Macaca fascicularis: one gene and its partners. The protein of the gene in region 1 interacts with the protein of each later gene in a pairwise test. Links are inferred from orthologs where the notes say so. Each region holds a gene or a part of one and is shown in the gene's direction. Other genes may lie near its edges.

Evidence for each region.
Region 2: the proteins of CYTH4 (region 1) and FOS interact in a two-hybrid assay, tested with the Homo sapiens proteins (2 studies listed by BioGRID and IntAct). The two-hybrid records come from large-scale screens. The link is inferred for Macaca fascicularis from reciprocal best matches to the Homo sapiens genes CYTH4 and FOS.
Region 3: the proteins of CYTH4 (region 1) and CNKSR1 interact in binary tests that used the Homo sapiens proteins (3 or more experiments, as listed by UniProt). The two-hybrid records come from large-scale screens. The link is inferred for Macaca fascicularis from reciprocal best matches to the Homo sapiens genes CYTH4 and CNKSR1.

Annotation. Positions count from the first base shown.
Region 1 is NC_088384.1:14,388,339-14,391,938, reverse strand, and holds the start of CYTH4 (cytohesin-4), read left to right. Parts: upstream 1-1,111; 5' UTR 1,112-1,208; coding exon 1,209-1,227; intron 1,228-3,600. UniProt on the Homo sapiens protein: Promotes guanine-nucleotide exchange on ARF1 and ARF5. Promotes the activation of ARF factors through replacement of GDP with GTP.
Region 2 is NC_088381.1:143,230,064-143,233,880, forward strand, and holds the start of FOS (protein c-Fos), read left to right. Parts: upstream 1-1,659; 5' UTR 1,660-1,814; coding exon 1,815-1,955; intron 1,956-2,709; coding exon 2,710-2,961; intron 2,962-3,396; coding exon 3,397-3,504; intron 3,505-3,621; coding exon 3,622-3,817. UniProt on the Homo sapiens protein: Nuclear phosphoprotein which forms a tight but non-covalently linked complex with the JUN/AP-1 transcription factor. In the heterodimer, FOS and JUN/AP-1 basic regions each seems to interact with symmetrical DNA half sites.
Region 3 is NC_088375.1:208,959,100-208,962,916, reverse strand, and holds the start of CNKSR1 (connector enhancer of kinase suppressor of ras 1), read left to right. Parts: upstream 1-1,336; 5' UTR 1,337-1,395; coding exon 1,396-1,447; intron 1,448-3,817. UniProt on the Homo sapiens protein: May function as an adapter protein or regulator of Ras signaling pathways.

The DNA of each region.
Region 1 (3,600 bases):
TCACTGTGATCTCCACCATGTTCCATTCATTCATTCATTCATTCATTCTTTTATTCATTCATTCCACGCTTGCATACCCTCTATGTCCCCAGCACTTTACCACACACCAGAGCACAAAAGGTAACCTTGCCCTCATGGGACCTGGAGAGTAATGGGGAAGCAGATGAACAAATCTGCATGTGTCCTGAAGTTATAGGGAATTTGCATTTAATTTATACCTGTTTCTTTACAGCACAGCTTTTTCCAGAAAGGATTTGAACCAACCTGCCAGAAAAGACACAAGCAATAACGTGATACATTTTAACCAAAGAAGAAAATTAGAATCAAAGGAGAAAGTGTTTATTGAGCACCTACTATGTCCCAAGCATCTCTGACACATCCTCTCACTCCATCATTTCCATATCCCCGAGTTAGTGTTATTCCCCTTTCACAGATAAGCAAAGCGAGGCTGACTAGCCCTAGCTGAGAGTCAAACAGCTGAGTCAGTCCCCAAAGTTCACACGACATCATAGAAAAGCTGTTGATGAGCTTTTGATTTGACGATGAGTTTCCCAGCAGCCTGGGGGAGAAGGAAAATGGAGCATATTACCCGATTGTTCACTAGACAAGAAAAAGCCAGATATTTCTTTGAAGGGAAGGAAAGTCCTTCCTAGCACTGAATTCATTTGTCTTTTCTTAAGTGGGAGTTGGAAGAGAGCTTGTGGGGTGGAACAGAGGGGGCCCTGCTAGGACTGTCCAAGTTGGGTGCTCCTATGGCATTCATGTGAGGAGGTTGCCAGGTAAATGCCCATGGTTCCCTGGAAAATGTTCATCCTCAGTGAACATCACCCTCGGTGTCTGTGCGTGTGTACGTGTGTGTGTACATATGCGTCTGGGTGTTTCTTTCTGTCTGTCTTTCTCTTTTTTATGTGGCCCTCCCCTCACTTCATCTGTTTGTTTGTTTGTTTGTTTCCACCTCTGTCCCTCTCTGGCAAAGGTCCCTGCTGCTCAAAACTCTGCCAGTTTTTAGGAAGTGCTGTTGTGTCAAAAGCCTGCACACGAGACCCCAGTGGGCCAGGACTGACTTCCTCCCCACACAGGGCTGGGCGGGGCAAGCAGGAAGGGGCCCGTTACAGTCAAGGTGACGCATCCTTGCTGGGTCAGCCCGAGCAGCAGCTGGGTTGACAAGCGACAGGAACACGGGTCATCTTTTCCCCAGGGGCGTCAGAATGGACCTGTGCCACCCAGGTAAGCAACTGCAGTCCACCTCTCTGGGCCTCAGGGTGCTCTCTTTTAGAATGGGACGGCAGCCCCTGCCTCACAGGGTCCTAGATAAAGGAATACAGCACAGGCGGAAAATGCAGCTGTGCGAAGCAAACATTTGTGGGCTCAGCCTAGGTGTCCAGTTGTGTTCTGGGGGCTGGGCACACAGCAGTGAGCAAAGCAGACGCTGTTCCCCCCTTCACGGGCTTGTCCTCTAGAGGGAGAAACAGGCAGTGACTCTAATGTGATGCCCTACGTCAGTTGGTGGCAGGTAGGATGAAGAACAGTAAAGCAGGATAAGGAAGAGGGGAGTGCATGGTGGAAAAGGCCCCAAGATGCTGTCTAATGAGGGACCTGAGGACGGTATCAGCTAAGGGGCCTTCTAAGGAACAAACATTTCAGCCAGAAGGAATGGCCAGTCCAAAGGCTCAGAGGTGAACTGAGAAAAGTGACTTGTGATTAAGATGATGATGTGATGTTGGTGACGGCGATGCTTGTCTGGGTGATACGAGGGACTTGAGGTCCCTTTCTGGCCGGGGGTTGGGGTGGTCTTTGGGGAGGCTGAGGATGCAGCCTAGAGCCGGGGGAGGGCCGGGAGTGAGCAACAGAGGCTCTGATTGAAACCCTCCCCAGGGACTAGGACCATGTGTCTGGGGAGAAAGAGGAGAAAGGAGGCTGCAAAGATGGTGAGGAAAAGAACATCAGGATTGTGTTTGGGGAGGTAAATCGAAGGCCCAGAAGAGGGGCCAAGTTTCTGTACCCTGGATGTCAGTGTTCTCCAGAGCTGCAACGGTTCTGGTGAACACGGCTGCTGGAATTCCAGAATCTACAGGCTGGTGGGAGCTGTCTGCTCCCCAGGTCCAGATGACCTCAGCCTTGTCCAGGAGCACCCTGGCTTCAAATGCACCTAACATGGAGCAGCCTGGCCCCGCCCACTGGGCATCCCCCTTCCCCCACTCCCCCACCAGGGAACACAGTTAGAGAACCACTGATCCATTTCAACAGCCCCCCAGTGGCAGAAGGGAGAAAAGAGGCCAAGCGAGGAAAACAGCCTCTCTGCGGCAGGGGCAGGACCAAACCCTGTGCCGTGACTCCCTGTCCCGGGCTCACTCTCTGACCCCTGCCTCTCCTGTGGGCTTTGGAGGTTCCCAAAATCACAGCTCAGTGAGCACAGCTGGGGGACACCTGGTCGGCACAGGGAGGGAGACCCAGCAAGGGGCAGCACCTGACTCAGGCCTCTCAGCAGACAGGAGGGTGGGGATGAGGCGGGGAGGGCACCCACTGAGATGCAAGACCCCCGCCTGTGTGTCCAGCAGGGCACTTTGTCCTTTGGGGTCCTAACATACTAAGGTTACAGGGATGGCTGTCCCCATATTGCAGATAAGGAAACTGAGGCTCCCAGAGGTGAACTAGAGGCGAGGACTGACTTGCTTGAGGTCACACGGGCAGTCAGCGGCAGAGCAGGGCTGAGAACCTGAGGGAGAAAGCCCCAAGTTGGCCGGGGCTGTGGAGAGGGCACGGGAGGGGAGAATCTGCTTTGCTTCAGCCGGTACTAGGGAGGAAATGAATTAATTGGGGTCAATGCAGCGATGGATTAATGGGGTCAATTGGTTCTCCATTGAGTAGTTGGTCTTTTCATTCATTCACTCTACAAACGACCTTTCAGTGTGCTAAGGAGTGCTGGGGACAGCAGTGACCCAGCCATGGGCCTAACCTTGGGGGACGGGTGTTGGTCTGGAACGTTGGGGGCGGGGTGGAGAGGCAGGAGTCAGATCCGGCAGGACCCTGACCCAGCCGTGCAAATGGACACAGGCTTAGAGATGGGAGGAAGCGACTTTTCCCACTGGGGCAGAGGAGATCTGGGAAGACCTCCTGGAGGAGGAGGCCAGCGGGAGGGAGGAAAGGTCATTTCCCCGTTGCCCAGACTGGGTCTTAATTCGGGCTTCTCCGTGGCCCAGTGACTTCCCCTCTCTGAGTTCCGATTTGTCATCTCTACGTGGGTGCCATCATCCTGGCCTGGCCTGGGGAAGCGGGGATTGGGAGTTAGCCAGACCTCGCTCAGGTTCCAGCTCTGCACCACCCTGCCAGTGGTCATGGTCTCTTCCTTCTGTGGGCCTCAGTTTTCCTACCTTTATTATGGACAGGCTGGTGACACAGGGTTCCCCAGGGCTGCCTCCCCTCCTCTCCTGAGGTGGGCCTGTGTCCGGAAGCAGGTAAGGCACCCTCCCCCAAGGCCTGCCGGGAAGATGAGAGCACCAGACAGCAAAGCCCCAGTGTGGCCGAAGATGAGCACTGCGCTGGTGCAGATAAGACAGGCAGGTGCAGTTAAAAATAGAGCCAGCTCGGCTCGGGGAGAGG
Region 2 (3,817 bases), on another chromosome or scaffold:
CAGGCCGACGGCGCGCCCGGCCGCGCGGCGTTGCCTGGAGACGGCCCTGGCGGCGCTGTGTTGCTGTAAACAGCCGCTTCCCTGTTACTATCTATAGCAGGATCTCCTGGCTCCCGGGCGCGGCGGCTGGAGGCAGGTCTGCGGTCCGGCTCACCGCGCGCCCCGAACTATCCCCCCGCCCGCCTCATCCTGCCTCGCCCCTCTCCAGGTGCTCACCGCGGGTCCCGACCCCCGGGCCCGAAGAGTGGGGAAGGGGAGACCGGGGCTGTGCGGGGACATGCGTCTTCGCACCCTGGAGGTGGCCGGCGCGCTGGGGCTGAGCCCGGGCAGCGTGACCCCGGCTGTCCTACGCAGCAGGGCAGGAGGCTGGGGGGCGTGGCACACTCTGGAGCACCTTGCCTCCCCAAAGCCCGGTGTTCCAGGACGTGGAGCCGCGCCTGGGGTCCCAGCGGTGGAGGTATTCCGCCTGGGCGCTGCTGGACACTGTCCTTCCAGCCCCTGTCCTCCCCTCTCCAAGTCCGCGCTGGAAAATCACCCGCTGCGGGCTCCCGTAAGCACAGCTTCCTGGCGGGACCGAACCAGCCCCCCAGCTCAGATTTTAGTTCCCCGCAGGAAGCACACCCCGCCTTGTCATCCCGAACTGACCACCCTGCCCACATAACCACACCCCGCACTCCCTACCCCCGGGGCCCAGCTCAGAACCGGGCAGACACCCCCTTCAAATGTCTTCGCACGTAGGTGTCGCACAGTGTTTATCTGCTGGTGTCTCAGGGATTTGACAGTTTCCTTAATATTCCCACACATGGCCGAGAAAAATAAATAAATAAATGCGCTGTCTTCCTTAAAGAAAAAATAAGTAAATAAATAAAGTACCCAGTATCGTAAAGTAGGTTATCGTATTCTGTTATTTTGGATCCACTTTCTGCTTCCAAACGCAGGAACAGTGCTAGCATTGCTCGAGCCCGGGAGGAGAGGGGTGAGGGTCTGCTTCCTCGTTTTGCACTGAATTAGGGCTAGAATTGGGGATGGGGGTAGGGACGCATTCCTTCGGGAGCCGAGGCTTAAGTCCTCGGGGCCGTGTACCCGAGGCCGTTTCTCCTATTCCTGAGCCTCAGAACTGTCTTCAGTTTCCGTACAAGGGTAAAGAGGCGCTCTCTGCCCCATCCCCCCCGACCTCGGGAACAAGGGTCCGCATTGAACCAGGTGCGAATGTTCTCTAGCATTCTGCGCCGTTCCCGCCTCCCCTCCCCCGGCCGCGGCCCCCGCCTCCCCCCGCGCTGCACCCTCGTTGTTGGCTGCAGCCCGCGAGCAGTTCCCGTCAATCCCTCCCCCTTACACAGGATGTCCATATTAGGACATCTGCGTCAGCAGGTTTCCACGGCCTTTCCCTGTAGCCCTGGGGGGAGCCATCCCCGAAGCCCCTCATCTTGGGGGTCCCACGAGACCCCTGAGACAGGAACTGCGAAATGCTCACGAGATTAGGACACGCGCCAAGGCACAGGCAGGGAGCTGCGAGCGCTGGGGAGGCAGCCACGCGGCGGCAGAGGCGCTCAGGCCCGCGCGCCACCCCTCTGGCGCCACCGTGGTTGAGCCCGTGACGTTTACACTCATTCATAAAACGCTTGTTATAAAAGCAGTGGCTGCGGCGCCTCGTACTCCAACCGCATCTGCAGCGAGCAGCCGAGAAGCCGAGACTGAGCCGGCGGCCGCGGCGCAGCGAACGAGCAGTGACCGCGCTCTTACCTAGCTCTGCTCCACAGCGCCCACCTGTCTCCGCCCCTCGGCCCCACGCCCGGCTTTGCCTAACAGCCACGATGATGTTCTCGGGCTTCAACGCAGACTACGAGGCGTCATCCTCGCGCTGCAGCAGCGCGTCCCCGGCCGGGGATAGCCTCTCCTACTACCACTCACCCGCCGATTCCTTCTCCAGCATGGGCTCGCCTGTCAACGCGCAGGTAAGGCTGGCTTCCCACCGCCGCGGGGCCGGGGGCTTGGGGTCGCTGAGGAGGAGACACCGGGCGGGACGCTCCAGGAGATGAGTAGGGGGCTCCCTTGTGCCTGGAGGGAGGCTGCAGTGGCCGGAGCGGTGCCGGCTCGGGGGCTCGGGACTTGGCTCTGAGCGCACGCAAGCTTGCCATAGTAAGAATTTGTTCCCCCTTCCGGAGGCAGGTTCGTTCTGAGCAACGTCTGGTTTGCACTCCAGGACGGATCTCTGACATTAGCTGGGGCAGACGTCTCCCAAGCACAGACTCGCTAACTAGAGCCTGGCTTCTCTGGGGAGGTGGCAGAAAGCGGCAATCCCCCCTCCCCCGGCAGCCTGGAGCAGGGAGGAGGGGTGAGGGAGGAGGGTGCAGCGGGCGGGTGTGTAAGGCAGTTTCATTGATAAAAAGCGAGTTCATTCTGGAGACTCCGGAGCGGCGCCTGCGTCAGCGCAGACGTCAGGGATATTTATAACAAACCCCCTTTCAAGCGAGTGATGCTGAAGGGATAACGGGAACGCAGCGGCAGGATGGAAGAGACAGACACTGCGCTGCGGAATGCCTGGGAGGAAAAGGGGGAGACCTTTCATCCAGGATGAGGGACATTTAAGATGAAACGTCCGTGGCAGGATCGTTTCTCTTCGCTACTGCATGCGGCACCGGCAACTCGCCCCACCTGTGTCCGGAATCTGCTCGCTCACGTCGGCTTTCCCCTTCTGTTTTGTTCTAGGACTTCTGCACGGACCTGGCCGTCTCCAGTGCCAACTTCATTCCCACGGTCACTGCCATCTCGACCAGTCCGGACCTGCAGTGGCTTGTGCAGCCGGCCCTCGTCTCCTCTGTGGCCCCATCGCAGACCAGAGCCCCTCACCCCTTCGGAGTCCCCACTCCCTCCGCTGGGGCTTACTCCAGGGCTGGCATTGTGAAGACCATGACAGGAAGCCGAGCGCAGAGCACTGGCAGGAGGGGTAAGGTGGAACAGGTGAGGAACTCTAGCCTACCCTTCCTGGGAAGGTGGGGGCTGGGTGGGAAGCGGCCCTGGAGGTGGAGGAGCACAGCAGAGAGGATTAAGCCCCTGACGGGGCTGGCTGCACATCCCTAACTGGGAACCCTGGCTCCAAGCCCATTCCATCCCAACTCAGACTCTGAGTCTCACCCTAAGAAGTACTCTCATAGTTTCTTCCCTAAGTTTCCTACCGCATGCTTTTAGACTGGGCTCTTCTTTGTTCTCTTGCTGAGGATCTTATTTTAAATGCAAGTCACACCTAGTCTGCAACTGCAGGTTAGAAATGGTTTCACAGTGGGATGCCAGGAAGTAGGGAAGCTGCAGGAGCCAGTTCTACTGGGGTGGGTGAATGGAGGTGATGGCAGACACTTTTACTGAATGTCGGTCTTTTTTTTTTTGTGATTATCCTAGTTATCTCCAGAAGAAGAAGAGAAAAGGAGAATCCGAAGGGAAAGGAATAAGATGGCTGCAGCCAAATGCCGCAACCGGAGGAGGGAGCTGACTGATACACTCCAAGCGGTAGGTAGACTCTGCGGGTTGCTCCTTTTTAAAACTTAAGGGGAAAGTTGGAGATTGAGCATAAGGGCCCTTGAGTAAGACTGTTTCTTATGCTTTCCTTTCTCCCTCTGTATACAGGAGACAGACCAACTAGAAGATGAGAAGTCTGCTTTGCAGACCGAGATTGCCAACCTGCTGAAGGAGAAGGAAAAACTAGAATTCATCCTGGCAGCTCACCGACCTGCCTGCAAGATCCCTGATGACCTGGGCTTTCCAGAAGAGATGTCTGTGGCTTCCCTTGATCTGACTGGGGGCCTGCCAGAGGCTGCCACCC
Region 3 (3,817 bases), on another chromosome or scaffold:
TGGCTTTGAACTCTGGGCTTGAGTGATACTCCCCACCTCAACCTTTCAACCTCTCAACCTCTTGAGTAGCTAGAACTACAGTTGTGTGCCAGCGCTCCCCAGCTCCAAATTTTTTTTTTTTTTTGTGGGTGTTTTTGTGAGACGGAGTCTCGCTCTGTCACCAGGCTGGAGTGCAGTGGCATAATCTCAGCTCACTGCAACCTCCGCCTCCTGGGTTCAAGCGATTCTCCTGCCTCAGCCTCCTGAGTAGCTGTGACTACAGGTGTGCACCACCACACCCAGCTAATTGTTGTATTTTTAGTAGAGATGGGGTTTCACCATGTTGGGCAGGCTGGTTTCCATCTCTTGACCTCATGATCCACCCGCCTTGGCCTCCCAAAGTGCTAGGATTACAGGCGTGAGCCACCGCGCCTGGCCAAATTTGTTTTTAAATATAGTTTTGATAATTATTCTCATTGTAATCCTAAGAATTTTGTTTTGTGCATTTGTTTATTCATTTATTTATAATATAGAGTTTTGCTCTGTTGTCCAGGCTGGAGTGCAGTGGCATGATCTTGGCTCACTGGAACCTCCACCTCCTGGGTTCCAGCGATTCTCCTGCCTCAGCCTCCTGAGTAGCTGGGATTATAGGCACCCACTATGCCCAGCTAATTTTTTGTATTTTTAGTAGAGATGGGGTTTCACCATGTTGGCCAGGCTGGTCTTGAACTCCTGACCTCAATTGATCCGTCCGCCTCGGCCTCCCAAGTCCTGGGATTACAGGCGTGAGCCACCACGCCCGGCCTGTTTTATGCCTTTATAAGCAGCTATTCTGAGAAAGCGTTCACAAGCCTCACCAGATGCCGGAGTCCATACTGCAAAATCAAAGGGAGGCTAAACACCCCAGTTCTAAAATGTTTTCAAGCTATTCAGATACTGTGCACACCTGCCCTTTGAAGTAAGGTCTATTATATCTCCTTTACAGACCCAGAAACGGAGGCGCAGAAGTTATGGTCAGCCCCAGGTCACACAGTTAACAAGAGCTGGCCTAGGCACCCAGGGACCTGGCACCCTAGCCTCCGTGCTTTGCTACTGAGCTTAGCACTCCTCTTGTGGCTTTTTCTTGAGGAGCCCAAGGGTCAGCGTCCCACCCAGCCATATGAGGCCAGTGGCACTGCCCCCTAGCTGGGGTGAGATGCCAGAGCCCTAGGATGCCTGAAAGGCTGGGCAGGAGGCGGATGGGCGTCGGCCAATGGCTGTCGCAGCGCCTCACCTGGCCGTCTGTGTGAGCCCAGGTATGCAGTAGGCTCCGCCCAGGACCCAGCCCGGCCCCTCCTCAGGCCTGGGCTCTGGGAGCGGAAATTCCGGCGCCAGCGGGGCAATACAGGAGCTGATGCGAGCCGGCAGCGCTGGGCCATGGAACCGGTAGAGACCTGGACCCCCGGAAAGGTGGCAACTTGGCTGAGAGGTGGGTGGGACCGGGGTAGAGTTGGGCTTGAAGGGGACTAGGTATGGGTCCCACCGGAAGAGGGAGGAGGGGAAAAGGAAAAAGAACCTGTGGACTGGGTGCGGTGGCTCACACCTGTAATCCCAGTACTTTGGGAGGCCAAGGTGGGTGGGTCACGTGAGGTCAGGAGTTCAAGACCAGCCTGGTCAACATGGTGAAACCCTGTCTCTACTAAAAATACAAAAATTATCTGGGGGTGGTGGCAGGTACCTGTGTAATCCCAACTACTTGGGAGTCTGAGGCAGGAAAATCGCTTGAACCCAGGAGGTGGAGGTTACAGTGAGCCGAGATTGCACCGCTGCACTCCAGCCTGGGTGACAGAGTGAGATTCATCCCCAAAAAAACACAAAAAACAAAATAACCTGCGGGCTCTATCAGTCAGTCAGTCAGTCAGTCAACAAGTATTTACAGAGTACCTACCATGTTCCAGGTACTGTGCTCGGCAGAGAGACAAATGAGATGACCCCGGGGGCCCCAAGGACCCAGAAGGGGGCCCCTCATTGTGGCAGCAGCCAAAGAGGCCTCTAGGGTGGTAATGGGGAGGCGGTGTCATGAAAACAGGAGGGAGGCCTGGCAGGCCCAGGCCTACTGTATCTTCTTTATCTTCCCTGGCCCCAGGGCCAGTGGGCTGTTGTTAAATCCATTTCTTAGAGTCAGAAACTGACGCACAGAGCCAGGAAGTGATTTGCTCAGTCTCTGGTGTCATTCTGCCCCCTCCACACCCTGAGCTCCTAGTGACAAAAGCAGAAGGCCTAGACTAGACTGAAGAGGTTGACACAGCCCCACCCTGGGGCTCCTATCCAAGGGGCAAGGTGCTGTCCAGGCTCAGCGAGCCCAGACAGATGGGAAGCAGCACACCCCACAGGCAGACTCAGAGAAGGGCCTCCTGACACGCAGTGCAGTGCAGCCAGGAGCAGGCAGTCAGGACACGCCTCCCAGAGCCGGGAGCTGGAGCGCACTAGACAGGCTCAGGAGGACCAGCCCAGGTAAGGGCAGGAATTCAGGGCTGGGTTCAGACTCCCAGGCTGGATTCCAGGCCCACCCCCACCACTTGCCAGCTCTGTGACCGTAGGTCTCAGTTTTTCTGCCCATCAAATGGGAAAGGCAACTCTGACCTCATAAAGTGGACAAAGTGAGACAATCATGACACAGCTCATTTGTAGCTCAATTCCTGGGGCTATTGTGAGGGCAGCAGCCGAATACAGTCACCATGCAGGAAGGAGGTGGCTCAGGGACCCATAGCCAGGGAGTGACAGGTTCATGAACTCCCAGTCCGGTGCTCTGAATGTGACACAGGGAACACACACACACCCCCCCCCCCCCAGTGAAGGAGCCTGGCTCAGGAGGGGAAGAATTCCTTTGAAGAGTGAGCAAGCTACTTAACCTCTGTGTCAGTTTTCCCATCTGTAAACAGGATAATGATAGTCTTTACCTCCTAGAAATGTAGTGAGAATCAAATGTGTTAATATGTGTAAAGCTCTTATAGCTTTGCATAGCACATAGTAAGCCCTTGATAGACACTTTTCTTATTTTTGAGTGTCTACCTTGTCCAGGCACAGGCTGGGGGTTAGAGACAAATGGTTATCTAAGGCCTGATCTTTGAAGAGCCTGTGATAAAATGGGAAAGACCGATGGTCAAGTGCAGGGGTTTGTGGAGGCTCGGGGGCAGTGGGAACAAGAGGAGAGCCCCCCACCCCACTCAGCCTGGGAAGTTATGGAAGTCTTTCTGGAGGAAGTTAGCTGAAAAAGGAAGTGAAGGAGCTAGAACAGCAACACCAGCAGGAGGAATAGCACTCTAAGGACCCTGAGGTAAAAGGGTATTCCAGGAGCTGCAAGGAATTAGCTCTGTGCATCTGAAGTGTTGAGTCTGGGGGGCTCTTCAGGATATGATGCTGGAAAGGGAGGTGGTAGCCTAATCATACAGGGCCTGTAGATCATGGTAAAGTCTGGCAATAATAATACGATGGCTATTATTGACTTGTCTCCCACGAACCAGACAATGGCCAAGGCCTTGACATATGTCGTGTCATTTAAAACACACATGATTAGAAGGTAGGTACTTTTATTATTCCCATGTTACAGGTGAGAAAACTGAGGCACAGAGCAGTGCTATTACTTGCTCAAGTGTTCACAGTGTCTCAGTGACTCCACGGCCTCTTGTTCTTATCCCCTATATTGTTAGTTCTCAAACTTAAGGGAGCATCATAATCACCTGCAGGATTCATTAAAATACAAACAGCTGGATGGGCGTCGTGGTTCACACCTGTAATTCCAGCACTTTGAGAGACTGAGGCAGTTGAATTGCTTGAGCCCAGGAGTTCGAGACTTGCC